Linked DNA regions of Drosophila melanogaster. The protein of the gene in region 1 interacts with the protein of each later gene in a pairwise test. Each region holds a gene or a part of one and is shown in the gene's direction. Other genes may lie near its edges.

Region 1 (4,417 bases):
GACAGCGTCTTGCCCCTCCTGGATACCCAAGACCTCAAGTGACTAATGCACTCAATTCAGTAGTTCTAAGTTGTAGTTATCGTACGGGAAGCATTACAAAAAGAAACGATTAATTCCCATTATAAAATCAGACTTGCTGTTGTTTAGAAAATGTTATGCATTGCCTTAGGAGCGCGTTTTGAGCAAATCTCGATACCAGTTGGGCAGGATTTGATGTTCCGGACCGCGCAGCACTTCGTAGCTGGCGTGCTTATTTAAAAAAGTCACCTGGACCACCGCAAACGGATCGTTAATGTTCACCAGCAGCTTCTTAAGATTGCGCAGAAACTGTTCCAGGTACCAAGCCATTGCCGATGCACTCCACGGTTTGTTGCGGGCCAGTGTTGCCACATCGATCTCATCGATCCTCTGCAGCATGCCCTTGGTGTCGCGGAGTCCCACGTAGAGCGTAGTGATGCCCACCAGGAATGACTGACTCCACCAGTTGGCAGACTTGAACGATTTGAAGGTGCGAATTTGGTGAGGGTTCATATTGAAGACGCTGGTCTTTAGCTCTACGAATTTCAATGAGTCGAGCACTCTGCAATCTTTGAAGTCACTAATGGGATTCGTGTAAGTGTATACACAAATAATGAATGGATGGAACATTAATCATTCATAAGTATTTAAACCCTGGACCACTCACACTGGCTCCTTGCTGTCCACACAGTCCAGTTCGGCGCCGTATAGCATCAAAATCCCGGCCAGGTTCGTGCGGTACACGCCCATGAACTCCTCTGCCTCGTTGACCGGCACATTGGTCACCGGTTTTCCCTGCGCCTGGGCACTGGTCAGGTACTGCTCGAACTTGAAGCCCCAGGAGCACATGACCCGCTGTGCCCTGCTCATGTTCGCGTTCTCCAGCTGCTGCTCTGGGGTTTCCTCCTTGCACATGTAGACGTTGCCGTTCAGGAGCGTCGCCTTGACGCGGAATGAGCGATTATCATACTGCAGGCACATTATCTGCCGCAAAATACCGCGCAGTGTTACAAAGTCGCTGTCCAGGCGTAGATTTCTCGCATCGGAGCTACTCTGACGGAGCAGCTCCTTCTGGTGTTGCTTAATGTAGGTCAGCATAATTTCCAGATCCCGTTTGCCGTTCTCGACGGGCTTACGGATCACATCCTCTATACCCCCGTTAAGATCGAACGGCAGCGGTGGCCACGGTTGGCCAGCCAAGTAGCTGGCGCAGCTGGCGTCGTCCACAAATTCCCGGCTAGCGTTTATGCTGCACACACCGATGCACTTCGGGCGGCTTATCGAGGGAAACGGCGTATTGTACATCGCGCCCAGCTTGTGCTGCCCCCAGGGCACACTGATGAAGCCCGCGTTCTCGGCCATTTCCTTCGCCTCCGCGGATTTTCCAAGTTCAAACTATAATTATCCGGAAAATAACGCTAATATTTATTAGAGGTGGAGAAAAATCGCAAACATCGATGTTTTTCGAGGAATCATCGATTATTTTCTTTCTCCACTGCGCAACTAAATGGGCTAAGACCTTGGGAAATGGTTGTGGTGAGAATCAAGTGTAGGCGATTAGTATCGAAAGCTAAATTGTATTAAAAATGGGATGATGATGTGCTTATTAATTTTAATGTAATAAGTGAACGCTAATGATGATAGTACCTCGATGAAGAGAAAAAATTTTGACTCTTAGATTTGCTTTATGTTCTGTTTGAGCACGTCTATTCACCACGAGGTATTTGCAAGCTTAAATCAAACAATTTGTGTGACCACAGTCATGGGAATCTAAGAATATACTAAATACCAAAATAACACGAAATCCGATTCGGTTTTGTTCATAGATTTGTTTTTATGTTTATTTGTAACCACCAAACGTGGCTGGCCAATGAAGCATCTCCTGGAGGATCCCTCGGTCCTGGCCGAGCTGCAGGTGCTGCCGGATAAGACCGGTGGTGTACAGGATCGACAGGAGGCCGCCAAGAATCCTGCAGAGAATTCCGTGCCCGACGAAGATTTGCCGGCTGCAGGAGGCGATTTGCTACGCGTTAAGGATACTCTGGGCCAGCTGGCCTGCAGTCTGCACAAGCTGTCCAAAAACGATCACATAGTCATCGATCGGTGGGTAGTAATCCCTATTTTTTGGAGCTTTCATTCACCTTCTCTGATCACGTTCCGTGATCTTTTATTCCTGTGCAGAAAGCGCCATCAGGTGATTCGCACAGATGCGGCTACGCAACAATTAACGATTTACCGCTGTCCGGATCCCGCCGTCATGGGGATTCGCCCGGCGATAGAGAAAAATGCCCAGAATCCGCCTGCCAAAGTGGGTAGACCATCGAAAAGAGCCTGTTCGGTTGCCACCGCTCCTGTGGCGAAGAAACCAACACTAGCGGAGCAAAAACCTGCTCCCGACACCCATCGCACTAGATCCGGTCGCCAGGTGCGCAGCTTGATGCCACAGCCCGCTCCCGTGACCAGTGGCTCAGCGGTTGAGCCAAGTTCTGCCCGCATGCTTGAGATGCTGGTGGCCGACTTGCGGGACAAGGACTACCGGGCACCCATGGCAGCGCCGAAAAGCACGAGTGTCAGCAGCAGCGTCAGTATAAGCCAGGAACCGACCACAACGACAACCATCCAACGAGCCGTGCCCAAAAATGCCGTTTGTCCCGGCTGTGGAAAGATCTTTTTGGGACGCCGTCTGCAGCGTCACTTTGTCAAATTCCCAGAGCACATGCCGCGTCCGGGCGAGCAGACACCACCTGTAGCTGTAGCTACAGTACCATCAACGGTTCATCCTCCCTCCACGCCGTCGCTGTTCGGCCTTCTGACCGCCCAACTGCAGCGGCATTCCCATCTCAGCGAGGAACAGCGCTCTGATCTCTTTCTTAACGAACTTAACGACTTTGTGGAGCAGCTGCAATTGCGCAGCCAACGGCTTATACGGAATACCTCTGGACTGCATTTTGTAAATGCACGAATTGCACGAGTTTTGGGCATACCCGAGGGTCAGTATGCGTTGGATATGTCCGCCATGGAGTCGCCGCTGGCACCGATGCCGGAATCAGAGGGAGCGGCCTTGGTTGCCGGCAGCGGTAGTGAAGGAGCCCGCAATCTGGTGGTCTACGCAGAGTTGAGCATGTCGCTGGACGATCCGCTCACAGACGAGGCTGCACAGCGTCTCAATCTATCGGCGGGCGGTCAACTTCATCCGCCTTCCGAGGAGAGTCTGCTTAGAAACGTCAGCGATCTTATGCAGCCGCCAGTGGCAACTGCTCCTCCGACTGTGAACCATGGCTACGATCATGCCAGCGATAATGCCGTGGAGGCCCTGACCATGAAGGAAACGCCCAACACAGAGGCTATTCTCGATCTCAACGTGGACTTCTTCCAGTTCAATCCGAATTAGAAGGGACAAATGTATAGAAAGCGCTTAGCTAGCAATGGAGATGAAGAATTCTATGATAGAGTGAAAGGTATTTCAACTACTTTTTAACTTGAACACTGAAAAGGTTCTAAAATATGAAAGTTTAAAACATTTATTTTATTTATCGTGCATATTGCATGAAGAAAGTCTCTGAAAATTGAAACGAACTTTTCTAAGTAGATTAAAATGTATTAATGGAGTATGTAAATATAGAAATAGGGATCTCTTAGATACATTTTGGTATTGTATTTTGAATTTTTACTGAATATTAATATTGAAATTGTATAATTTGAAAAGTAACCTCATATAACCTCCAGCCAAAAATCTATGCAATTAGTACGCAAATGTAAATGGTTGAGTGGCAAAAATGCCGCATGCGGATGGAGATTATTTATGAAGTACTTAACTGGCTAACGAAAGATGCCTATTAAATGAATTTATCTTCCTTGATTTTTGAAATTGTTGCGTTATTATTTGCTGGAACATTTGGAAGTGAATAAAAATCCTGGCCAATTTAGTTTAATGTATATATGCTTGTGGTTTCTAGCAGCTTTTCATACTTTTCATTTGTGTTTACTGCAAGTCAATTAAATTGATCGCAATTTTAATGGCGTTCAGCTAAATGGTAAATTTCTGTGAAAAATTATTATTGCTTTTAGTACAAAGCTGCTGCTTAAATAAATCCCTTTCAATACCTGTGTGTATTACAATATCTAGAATATCTTTATTGAAAAGCGTGCGTGTATCTATGTTTACTTTCAGGTGTAAAGTTTATTTGCCACGATGTAATCATATTTTCTGGCCATCCACTTGATTTTCAAAATACGTGGAGGATGGCAAGGGGGTGGCTAAAATCAATTTGGCAGTTATCACTGCAAATGGACGACCGTGTTTGCCTTGGTTCAATATGATTAAAGCTGATGACCGCCATGGAATTGCACCTAAAAGTGCAGTCAGAAAGTGACCTATAAATAGCGGAGATTCAAAGAA
Region 2 (3,930 bases), on another chromosome or scaffold:
CAGGCTACACAAAAAAAAGATACAGCTAATTGCGAGTGCAAAACGCTATCCAAAGAATTTATTCAAATATTTTTGAAGCCTGAAACTGCTCAAGAAAAGCAGAAATCAAATAATTCTCAACGCACCACAGATACCCCAATAAACTCGGAAAACTCAACTGGTCTACAATGCAGTAGAGAATGTAATGGAAGTTCTAGCAAAGACAATCGGAGATGTTGTAAGGCGAATGGATATGAAATGCATCTGAAAGGTGACCAATTCCCAACTGCTAAACAATGCTTAAAAGATACCGAAAATTTTCTAGAACAATTTAATCGGGTTTTTGCTAAAACAAAAAGCGAAGAAACACTTTCCGACAAGTCTAGAAATACTTCAGCTTTCTCTGCAAATCCCACGAAACAAAATGATACTGAACATGGGGTTGAAAACTTACTGGGTGAAATTGTTAAAAAACCCAAATCAAAGGTTTCCTCCACATCTTGCTTGGAGGCAAAGAGTTCCGAACAATCCAATAAAAGTGTAGAGAAGGAATTATACAAATCCTTTATTGAACAGCTTATTAGTCATTTCACAAAATCCAAGTCGTGTGAAAATAATCAGGCGCAGAATGCCCAATCAGAGTCCTACTCATTCGATCGCTTACTGCCGGAATTCGTAAAAATGTTTACGAGATCCAACAGCCTCGAGGAGGACAGACCCAAAAAAGTGAGCATATCAGAGAAGAAAACCATTTTGGGTGCCAATCCGATGACCAGCTTCAATTGTTCGAAAACTCCTCATAATATTAAATCCACTGCACTGAAATCGGAACTTAAGACGTCGGATATGGAATTGGATGCGAACGGACGTAGGGGTTCCTGTCAACTAGAAGGAGAATCTAAACCAAGTGCAATTTTTAGGAACACCCAGCGGATGAATAACCCGCCACGTGGTTGTCAATACTGTGGCGATGGCAGTCTGCCCATTCTGGATTCCTTGATGGATGAAATATTTCGGCTAATTGGGCAGCGGCCCTTCGATGACGTGGTCCTTACCATACTGCGTCAAGAGGATAATGTCTACCACATCAAGGTGCGTGAGATGGCAACCGGCAAGGACCTAGGCTGCATTCTGGGAAGTGGGAGGGCCATCAACCAAGCTATCGGGATAGGATTATTCGAGGACATTCCCACGTTCTGTGAGCTGGACAAAAACAGGCAGTACGATCCCAGGGACTGTCCACTGGACGAACTTTGCCGTCGGCAGTGCGGCGGTGAGATTGCACCAGATGGAAGTGCCGACAAGGAAAGGGTCGTCGAATTTTGCACTCGTGTGCTCGGTCTGCCCGCTGGACAAGCGTCCCGCTTCTTCTCCGTGACCAATGCCCTCAAAATGGGAAATCGAGAACTAACTGGCCGAGGAGCGGTCACTAGTAGCTTGGTTGACAATTTTTCTTCTAAGGATTTGAGCGATGTGGCCAAGACATCCAGTTTATTCCTACGCATTATTTCTGGCCAGTGTAATGACGTTCAAGATGATGAATAGGATTCATCATATGGGTTCGATAGCCATAATGCACTTTAGCTTTCATACCATTTAAATTTCCCTTAAGACTTTGTAACAACATTTTTCTAGAATTTTTTTTTATGAAAATATATTGTCTTATTTTATTAAATTATTTTCCTATGTAGAAATGTCGCAAACTTGCAATTCGCATTTATTGCCACTAAGCAGCTGCACATTGGGAAAATCCGCTCAATCAGCGTCCTTCGCAGGTAATACACAATTAGAACATTAGATCCCAGTATGAGCCGGACCAAGTTTTAATCCCTTCGAACTGACAGATGTTAGACATTAGAAAGCCTAGATAAAAGTATGGAGTTTACGGCAGGTAGAACCATTTAACTAAACCCATTTACATCTATAAAATAGCTTGCAGCGAGGAGGAGTTCATCAGTTTGCCAAGAACTCTTCACCTATCAAGACATTCAAACAAGACGCGTAGAAAAGAACCAAAGCCAAGCCAATTATATCAATTAAAACTTTGTTCAAATCTTTTCCGAACATATTTAAAACACATCCGCCATCATGAGCAACATCAGCAACGACAGTGGATTGGATGACTCCGCGAACAGTGGAGCCGTTGTCAGCGCCAATGGACCATTGGCAGCGACTCGGTTATCCTGGTTCCTGGCCGAAGTCGATGACGGCTTGATGAAGGATGGGAAGCCAAATGGTCGACGCCGTCTCTGCGTTCTCCATTCGATGGAACTCCTAGAGTCAGATGTTTCAGACAAATACATGACCCGATTCGTAGAATTCCGGGTCAATGGAATGGTGCTGGAGGCGAAACTCATACTGGCAGCGGATGAGAGGCGCCTGGTGGATGCAGCATTGCTGTCCATGAGCAAGGAGGAGAGGGAAGATGCCGGCGGCCAGCAACTGTTGGTCCAGTACACCGAGAATGAAAAGGCGGGCGAGCGCCTCATCCAGAAACTTGTTTCTCCAAACAATGTAATGCTGCTGAGCACCAAGCCCGAGCTGAAGGGTAATCCTCTGGTGAGGTTGGCTCCCGGCTGCATTGCCCACATCCTATATGCCTACGAAAGTCGTGATTATATGGAAAAGATACTACTGCACCTGAAAGCGCGAAGCTTTGATCTCGCCTTCGATGATAATTTGGAAGCTGAACCGGAGGCCATGAATGATGACACTTGGATGCTGGTGCAATACAGTCCCGAACCGGAGATGGTGGTATACCAGGTGGTGCAGTACAGACAAACCGTGTGGAGGAAAGAGAATCTCTTTAAGGACGTTATTGCCTACATGCAACTTCCTGGTAGCGACATCGTCCTCCAGGCGGTGGTCATCAGCTATGGCCAGGACAAAGAGGTCCAGGACGCGAAGTATGAGGAGTTGCAACGATTCTCTTTTGATATTGACTTTCCACTGCCCGAAGAACTGGAGAAGCACCCCGATCACATGACGTCCACCGCCCTCTTCTCGCGAACCAGCTTGTATCAGAAGGCGGAGCAGCGGGACACTACTGGAGAGCACAGGGAGTTGCGAAAAAGTCTGGAACAGATGAGCGAAAAGGCGCAGGGCGAGGCCCAAATGATCATAGATGCCTTCGACATGGTGGACAATATCAACAAGAATCTGCAGAGTCGTTTGTCCGGAGAGGTGCGATCGGTAGTGGAGGTCACATCCGGAGACGAACTTCATTAGTTGGCAAACACATCACATTTTCTTTATACATATATAGTCTACTAAGTTTCGTTGAAAGTTTAAAACTTAAATGGTAAATATTATTAGGCTAGAATTAAATACTAATTGTAAACTATATGTTTAGGTAATTTGAATAAATATATAAAGATCTGCAAATGATAAACGTATAAATATTTCTGTTTTTCACGTTTTATTCTGATTTTCGACATGTTAAACATGTTAAATATAAATATTTAAATTGACATATTTGTAAAAACAAGAAAAAAATATATTAAAATGGGGCAGTGCACTGGGGTGCAGGCGGGTGGGGGGCATGATCAAACGCAAGCATGTATGGTGCGTTGTGTACAATTATCAAAACGTGCATCATGACCGACGGCGGACCAACTCGTGGTTGTTGGACGAAAACGAACGATCCTGTCTGATGTATCATCAAAGGATTAGGCATCAACGGCCGGGTGGGTTCCATCCATCTAGAGGGCCCGAAAACAGGTGGCTGCTGTGCTGTTACGTTAACCGGACGAGGATCGGCCACCGGTGGTGGTGGCATCGAGGGAGCCGTACCAGGCATCGGGTCAGGGACGAATCCTTGCTGATCACCTTGTACCGACTGTCTCCCCATTTGGCTATTGTGGAGACGTTGGGGCCGCTTGCGAGCAAAGTCCCAGGCCTTGAATTCATCTGGTGGCAGTGGATGTAGATTATCGGAGGGCACATCAACCA
Region 3 (4,061 bases), 1.3 Mb from region 1:
AAAAAGCGTATTGCTCGCATGGCAATCACACGCTGCAGGCAGTCCGACTGGTACTTGCTCTTTAGCTTGTCCAGCTCTTTGATTACTATGTACGGAAGGTACAGCATGCTGCCCACCGTGCCCGGCAGCACCACATCGGTCAGTCTCTCCACGAACTTGTGGTTGTGTATGAGGACGTTGGTGTCCAGCACAAAGTACATGTAATCCTCAAGCCTTGGGGGCAGCTCCTCGGCATCGGCCGCCTGCAGCATCAATATAGTGTCGTCCTCTTCCTTAGCCTCATCCTGACCTTTCTGTGGCGCCTCCTCTTCAATGGACTCCGCCGGCAGCATCAATAGAGTGTCGTCCCCTTTCTTAGCCTCATCCTGATCATTCTGTGCCGCCTCCTCTTCAATAGACTCCTGCCATTCCATGGGCTCGACCTCCATATCGCTGGCCGTCGAGCCATCAAATGCACTTGGATTTGTGATGTTGCAGGCTTCTGGTTGTTTTTCTATCACCTCTTCGTTGATCTTGGCCACAATATTGTTGTTGCGCTCCTCATATAGCTGCTTCTGCTGCAGCGAAGCTCTTAACAGCATGAGACGCTGGTAGGCTAGGGAGACGATAAGGAGAACATGGGATATGAGTAACTATATGCACCGGGCACTCACCAGTTTGGGTACGTCCCGCCTTCAGGCGATTGGCATCGACCAGGGCTTTTGGCTTTTCCCAGGCATTCATCGCCACCTTAGGCGGAAACTTCAGGAGTCGCTGGGGCGTAGATGTGGACGCACTTGATCGACGAGATGCGGAGGAACTGTGGGTGATCCGCTTGGTGGTCCCCTGCTCCTTCTCGTTGTCCTGCACCCGCTTTAGTTGGCCCTGCAGGCGCTTGAGGCGGTCCTGGGCGGGATGCTGGCTCACTCCTTGCCATATTGCGTGGAAAAGTGGAGTTGAATCTTGGTTCTGGCATTCTGGCAAACGCGCAGTTTGCATGGGTTTTACCATTTGACGGACGTGGCGTGCTGATGATCCTAACCAGCTGGTCGTCGTCCAACGGCCTCAGATTGGAAGACTTTGGCGTGTGCTTACTTTCTCCACCGAGCGACATATTGTGTTCTTTAACATTTGATTTCTAGGAAGTACTCATTTATTTTGTATTTCAATAGGCAATCTGACTTAGAGGTGGAGAAACATCGATGACATCATCGATATCATCGATCTTTTCAAACAATCACAAGCATCGATGTTTTTCGAGGAATCATCGATGTTCTTCCATACATCGGAGGACAAAAGTATATAAATTGGGGGTATAAATTAAATTCGGATATAACTTTGTTATGATTTATTTAAAATACTCCTTATTTATATAAGCAATATTTTTTTTTAATTATTATTTATTAAGTGAAGTAATAAGAAATATTAAAAATGAAAATAATCTTAAATTAAACAGAAACAATGTTTTGTTTTTATTTAAAGCATAAATGTTTATGTTCAAATTAATTTAAGTTATAAACCATAAAATAAATTAAATGAGTATATGTAATTCTACGGCATACATTTTGGCGTGGAAGCTAAATACGAATTCATACAATGAATAGCTTATAACTAAAATTTACTGTAATAATCTATAGCATAAGTTGTTTTAAGCCATTGAATTTGAATAGCTAAAGATTTCATTTATAAAGACTTGAATGCTGCCACCTTAATTGTTGCAAAAACATGTTCTTGAAATAATAAGTTGCCAAGTTAGTTAGCTTGCCAAATAAAATCTTCACTGTTTGCCTGCTCGAGGTAATTTATATTTAAAAGTTCTTTCAAAATCTTGCAAATTAATTGCTTGGTAATAAACAAATTGATTTAAATTTAAATTTAAAAAAAAACTCAAAATTTAAAAGCTAAGCCAATGATAGGAGCCCCCTAACCGGTAGGCAGTATTTTCAAGCGGCGCACATACGGTCACACTGCACGGTTTCGAATCGCTTAACAAGTTTTTGCTTAAAAAGCTTTGCCGAGCACTAAGTAACCACCGCCTTTCGCACCCACAACACAACGCCACCAGCCAGAACAATGATCAAGGTACGTGGGGTGCTGTAAATAAGGATCACACTGCGATTAGACGGGAATTAGTGCAGCAAAAGCGGCCGATGACTGCGCGGCCGGGGTGCAAAGTCCAATTGGGATGTGAACTCGTGTCTATTATAAACATGGAGTCCCATAAATAACTGTATCTCTGCCCACAGCGATGTACCTTGTACCCAGCCAACAATTAGCATTACTTCCCCACCGAGTTATACAATAATACAATGCGGCTTATCGGGAAACTGGACACCGAACGCATCGGTCAGCTGCTTTCGAAATAATAAGATAAACCGGCATCGGATTATAAGTTTATCTGCAAATTGAGGATCGTGCTATTTCTATACTAACTTTAACGGACAACTTCTCAATGTTGTTAAAGATAAGGATCTCAGTCCTACAGATCGTATATTTTGCATTCTATATGCTTATTCTGTTAAGATCTCTAAACATTGATGTTGTAGTTGGGATGAAATGGAATGGAGTGCATTTTTAGAATCTATTTCCTTGGATATATACATATATATATAGTTTCTAACCCCATGCCTTTCCCACCCCCAGAACGCCGTTTCCCTGGTGACCGGAGGAGCCTCTGGACTGGGCCGCGCCACCGCCGAGCGCCTGGCCAAGCAGGGCGCCAGCGTGATCCTGGCCGATCTGCCCTCCTCCAAGGGCAACGAGGTGGCCAAGGAGCTGGGCGACAAGGTGGTCTTCGTGCCCGTGGACGTGACCTCCGAGAAGGATGTGAGCGCCGCTCTGCAGACGGCCAAGGATAAGTTCGGTCGTCTGGATCTGACTGTGAACTGTGCGGGCACAGCCACCGCGGTAAAGACGTTCAACTTCAACAAGAACGTGGCGCACCGCCTGGAAGACTTCCAGCGGGTGATCAACATCAATACCGTGGGCACGTTCAATGTGATCCGTCTGTCCGCCGGACTGATGGGCGCCAATGAGCCCAATCAGGATGGACAGCGCGGCGTGATCGTGAACACCGCCTCGGTGGCTGCCTTTGATGGCCAGATCGGCCAGGCGGCCTACTCCGCCTCCAAGGCAGCCGTGGTGGGCATGACCCTGCCCATTGCCCGTGACTTGAGCACCCAGGGCATACGTATCTGCACCATTGCACCGGGTTTGTTCAACACGCCTATGCTGGCCGCCCTGCCGGAGAAGGTGCGCACCTTCCTGGCCAAGTCCATACCGTTCCCGCAGCGCCTGGGCGAGCCCAGTGAGTACGCCCACCTGGTGCAGGCCATCTACGAGAATCCGCTGCTCAACGGCGAGGTCATCCGTATCGACGGTGCTCTGCGCATGATGCCCTAGATCCGGCTGAGCACTGTCTTGGACCTGTGGAAGTGGCTCGATCAGTTTGCATTTATCTATTGTCTAGTGGTTAAGCTGAAAAGTTTTATTATCTGTCCCGAAATTATGTAATAATTGCTATTAAACACACAATGTCACATTTCAAATTTTGGAGGCGCGTCTGCCTGCTGTTCTTCAACACTGGTTATATATAAGGGATAGCTGGGGTGTATTGGCTGCACAGGTCGTTGCAACAGGTGGATTAATTTTTTGTAAGTCAATTTTATTACTGACTTACTATTTGTGCAATTAATTCTTAAGCAACCATGTATTTATAATAAGAAAATAGTTTACTATCATATTTACAAAGTTGGTCTGAGCTTAAATATTTATTGAATAAAAGGGTATTTCTAAGTCGCTAGCCCTTAAGATTTCCCTGTTGTTCCCGCAAGTTGGCAGTTCCGTTTCAAAATGTAAACAACGAACATTTGAAAATCGCTCTTCAGAAGATAATGCCATATCAGCGCTGCTGAGCCGGGAACTTCGTAGGGCAGCTGGCGGGGATCAGGAGAATGTACCCCCTGTCCAGCAAACGGATCGCTTGGGAACACAAGACGCAGAGCAATTTAAGTGGAAGGAATCCCCGGCAGGAGATGATGCACTGGTGGTCAATGAGGATGCATTTTAAGTGAAGAAGAACG
Region 4 (2,821 bases), on another chromosome or scaffold:
TTGAGTGCATTCGGTTGAGTATGTGAGAGCTTGTCGATTATCGCAAGCATTTGGCGAACGGCAAACTTTTGCGCTTGTCGGCGTTAACAAGCCACAGCCATGCGTTTAACTAAGCGTAAATGTAACAGTGTGTGTGTGTGTGTGCGGAAGGGTAAGGGGGTGGCGGTTGAGGGGGAGTAGATCCTGTCAGCGTGTGACTAAAGTGTGTTGGTGTGTGTGTGAGTGTGTCGGTGCGGTTGGGTAGCAGCAACATTGTTGCAAAATGATTTTGAAAAAAAAAAACCATCAATAACTCAAATATAATGACAGTTTTCCACTTGTTGTTGCCCGTCACAATCACCCGCCGCCCCTAGCTGCCAACCACCACCATCCCCCGCCCCTAAGTGGGGCTAAATGGATGAATAACTTAAGCCAGCTGCTTCGCCTTTCCTCTTAGTGTGCGATGTTATGTAATGTAATAACGTCAATCAAATTTAAAAAGGCAGACCAACTATTTCAAAATCAATTTTCCTGAGACCCCGCCCCAGCGCCCCTTCGCCATTGCGCCCCCACCCCCTTTTCATGGAAGCGGTGGGAATGTGGAAAAGTGGAAAGGCAGCGGAAGGAAACAGGAAAGCGAGCTCGGCTTAAGCAAATACACAAGCACAAGTTGTTGCAGCATCAGAGGAATCCTGAGTGGGCTGTTGCTTGTGGAGCGGAGGAAGTAGGCTAATGTAGCAGAAGAAGACTCCGGACTCAGTCACTTTGCAAACAGTATCCCCCACTAAGCTCTGACTAGCGAAATTTGCAGCCAGGCACCGTGACACCGAGTGAAAAAGTGCCTGCCATGGTTAAAGTTGGGTTTAAACTTTTGACTGGCCGTGGCGCGTGGTTTTTGCCCCCGGGAGAAATGTATCATTCGTGTCATTAATCATTCGTCATGTGGGACGGCGACAACATTTCATTTGCTTATCATCCGGCTCAAAGTCTTTGGGGGAATGAACGCAACAAGAGCAGGCCTCAAAGTTGAATGAATCAAATGGGCTGTCGGAAAACTTATTTCTAAGCCTAGAAATCCCTGACAAGTCAGTGGCTTCGCGTCCCCTGCGATTGTAGGGATTTGAGGAGGCGGAGGTAGAAGCATTAGACAGAAGGTGTGGTTAAATAAATGTTTTCTTATTTGCTGAAATTACAGCAGTCTTAATTAGGATTTTCTCAAAAATATTTCACAGTATGGTTGAAATTTAAAAGTCCAACTATGATAGCATTTATTCAATATAATTACTTGAAACTGGACAGGGATTACAAAAAATCCTTTCAGCTAGTACAAGAGCATCCTTTCAATTTATATGCCCGCTTGATTTTTTATGGCCAGCACTCCACAGCACAACTACTGCCCATCATCATCATCATCGTCATCTAACATCATTCCTGTCCCATGGACGGCCACTCAAAGGCAAGCGCTGAATTGACAAATTGATGGATGGTTCTCCAAACGTTGCATGCTTCAGCATCTCTGCTTTCCTTATTTTTTCCCTTTATTGCCCCTTGTACGAGTATATGATGCATTATTATTCCGGAAAAGTTTGTGACCGCAACAACAACAATTGCTTGCCTAAGTGTTTTATTAGCCATCGAGAACAGAGTTTGAGTTCGGTTGAGTTGAGTTGATTGTCAGTTTTCATACACATCGGTTTTTCCCCATTTCTCCTTTTTTTTTTTGTATTCCTGATTTTCCTGAACTACTTTAGGGTTTTATTTGCTAGTGCCATGCCTTCTTTTTCCGGCAATGAGCTGACGAATGAGCATATCGACGAACTGAGGGATGCCTTTGAAAAGTATGATCTGGACTCGAATGGCACATTATCAGCCAACGAGGTGCGACTGGCTCTAATATCAGTGGGTTACGAAATCACTGAGGCAGAGTTGTACGATCTCATCCATTCGGTGGCTGTGAGAGACGAGGAGAGGCTGGACTTGAAAAAATTTATACGCATGATGGCGCCCCGAATGGCCAATGTGGATAGTGATAAAAGTCTATGCCGGACCTTTAACATGATTGACCGCGATCGCGACGGCTACGTCACCGTCCAGGATGTTCGTGCCATTATGGTCGTCCTGGGCGAAGTCGTAACCGATGACGATATTAAGGATATCTGCCAAGCAGTCGATATGGATGGCGATGGTCGCATAAGCTTGCGCGATTTCGTAGGCTTTATGCACAGCCCCATTTGAGCTGAGACAGCAAGCAAAATTGAACATTTTTCATACAGAGTAAGCAAACAAACAAAAATGTATCTCACAAATCTATTGTAGATTATAATAAAAATTATTGTTTTCATAATTATTAATATATTTAATTTTTGTGTAAAAAGCCAGTCAGTGTTTATGAATTTTCGTTTAATTTTATAATGGTTTTTTTTTTATTTAAAATGTTCTTTATTTTGTTTTTAGTAGGGCTTAATGTTTGAAGTACTTAAAAATTGAAATTCAATACATAGACGTACATATATTTCTGCCTGCTGGCAGAAAAAACGAAGGCGGCTGAATGGAAAACGGAAGGAAAAAATTGAGAGCATAAAGCCAGAAATTAATTCAACAGCACGTTTCGTCCATTAAGCCGCCAGAGCTTTGCTTGCTGACTTTGCCATCCTTTCGCCACCGCCCCTGCCACTCCCCCTGCAGGACATGGACATGGACACATGTGCAATGGCCGCACACACAAACACACATGCAAAGTGTTGTGTAAACAAGTCAGCTGCCAGTTGGCTGGGCGCTGCAGGCGGGGCTCACAGTAGGGGAAGAGCTAGAAGATGAAGAAGGAGCTTATCCAGAAGGAACG

Evidence for each region.
Region 2: the proteins of CG13005 (region 1) and Elba3 interact in a two-hybrid assay, tested with the Drosophila melanogaster proteins (one large-scale study listed by BioGRID).
Region 3: the proteins of CG13005 (region 1) and scu interact in a two-hybrid assay, tested with the Drosophila melanogaster proteins (one large-scale study listed by BioGRID).
Region 4: the proteins of CG13005 (region 1) and CG13526 interact in a two-hybrid assay, tested with the Drosophila melanogaster proteins (one large-scale study listed by BioGRID).

Annotation. Positions count from the first base shown.
Region 1 is NC_004354.4:16,801,872-16,806,288, forward strand, and holds CG13005 (uncharacterized protein), read left to right. Parts: upstream 1-1,778; 5' UTR 1,779-1,888; coding exon 1,889-2,121; intron 2,122-2,199; coding exon 2,200-3,409; 3' UTR 3,410-3,883; downstream 3,884-4,417. Other genes in the region: CG4789 (uncharacterized protein), read left to right, coding at 1-42; Rai1 (Rat1 interacting protein 1), read right to left, coding at 166-598, 686-1,380.
Region 2 is NT_033779.5:4,685,582-4,689,511, forward strand, and holds Elba3 (early boundary activity 3), read left to right. Parts: upstream 1-1,929; 5' UTR 1,930-2,067; coding exon 2,068-3,207; 3' UTR 3,208-3,375; downstream 3,376-3,930. Other genes in the region: CG11929 (uncharacterized protein), read left to right, coding at 1-1,524; CG3251 (uncharacterized protein), read right to left, coding at 3,479-3,930. UniProt on the Drosophila melanogaster protein: The heterotrimeric Elba complex is required for chromatin domain boundary function during early embryogenesis.
Region 3 is NC_004354.4:18,089,330-18,093,390, forward strand, and holds scu (scully), read left to right. Parts: upstream 1-1,929; 5' UTR 1,930-2,052; coding exon 2,053-2,061; intron 2,062-2,225; exon of another isoform or gene 2,226-2,325; intron 2,326-2,622; coding exon 2,623-3,381; 3' UTR 3,382-3,524; downstream 3,525-4,061. Other genes in the region: Swt1 RNA endoribonuclease, read right to left, coding at 1-595, 654-908, 988-1,093. UniProt on the Drosophila melanogaster protein: Mitochondrial dehydrogenase involved in pathways of fatty acid, and steroid metabolism.
Region 4 is NT_033778.4:22,753,576-22,756,396, forward strand, and holds CG13526 (uncharacterized protein), read left to right. Parts: upstream 1-1,643; 5' UTR 1,644-1,749; coding exon 1,750-2,214; 3' UTR 2,215-2,321; downstream 2,322-2,821.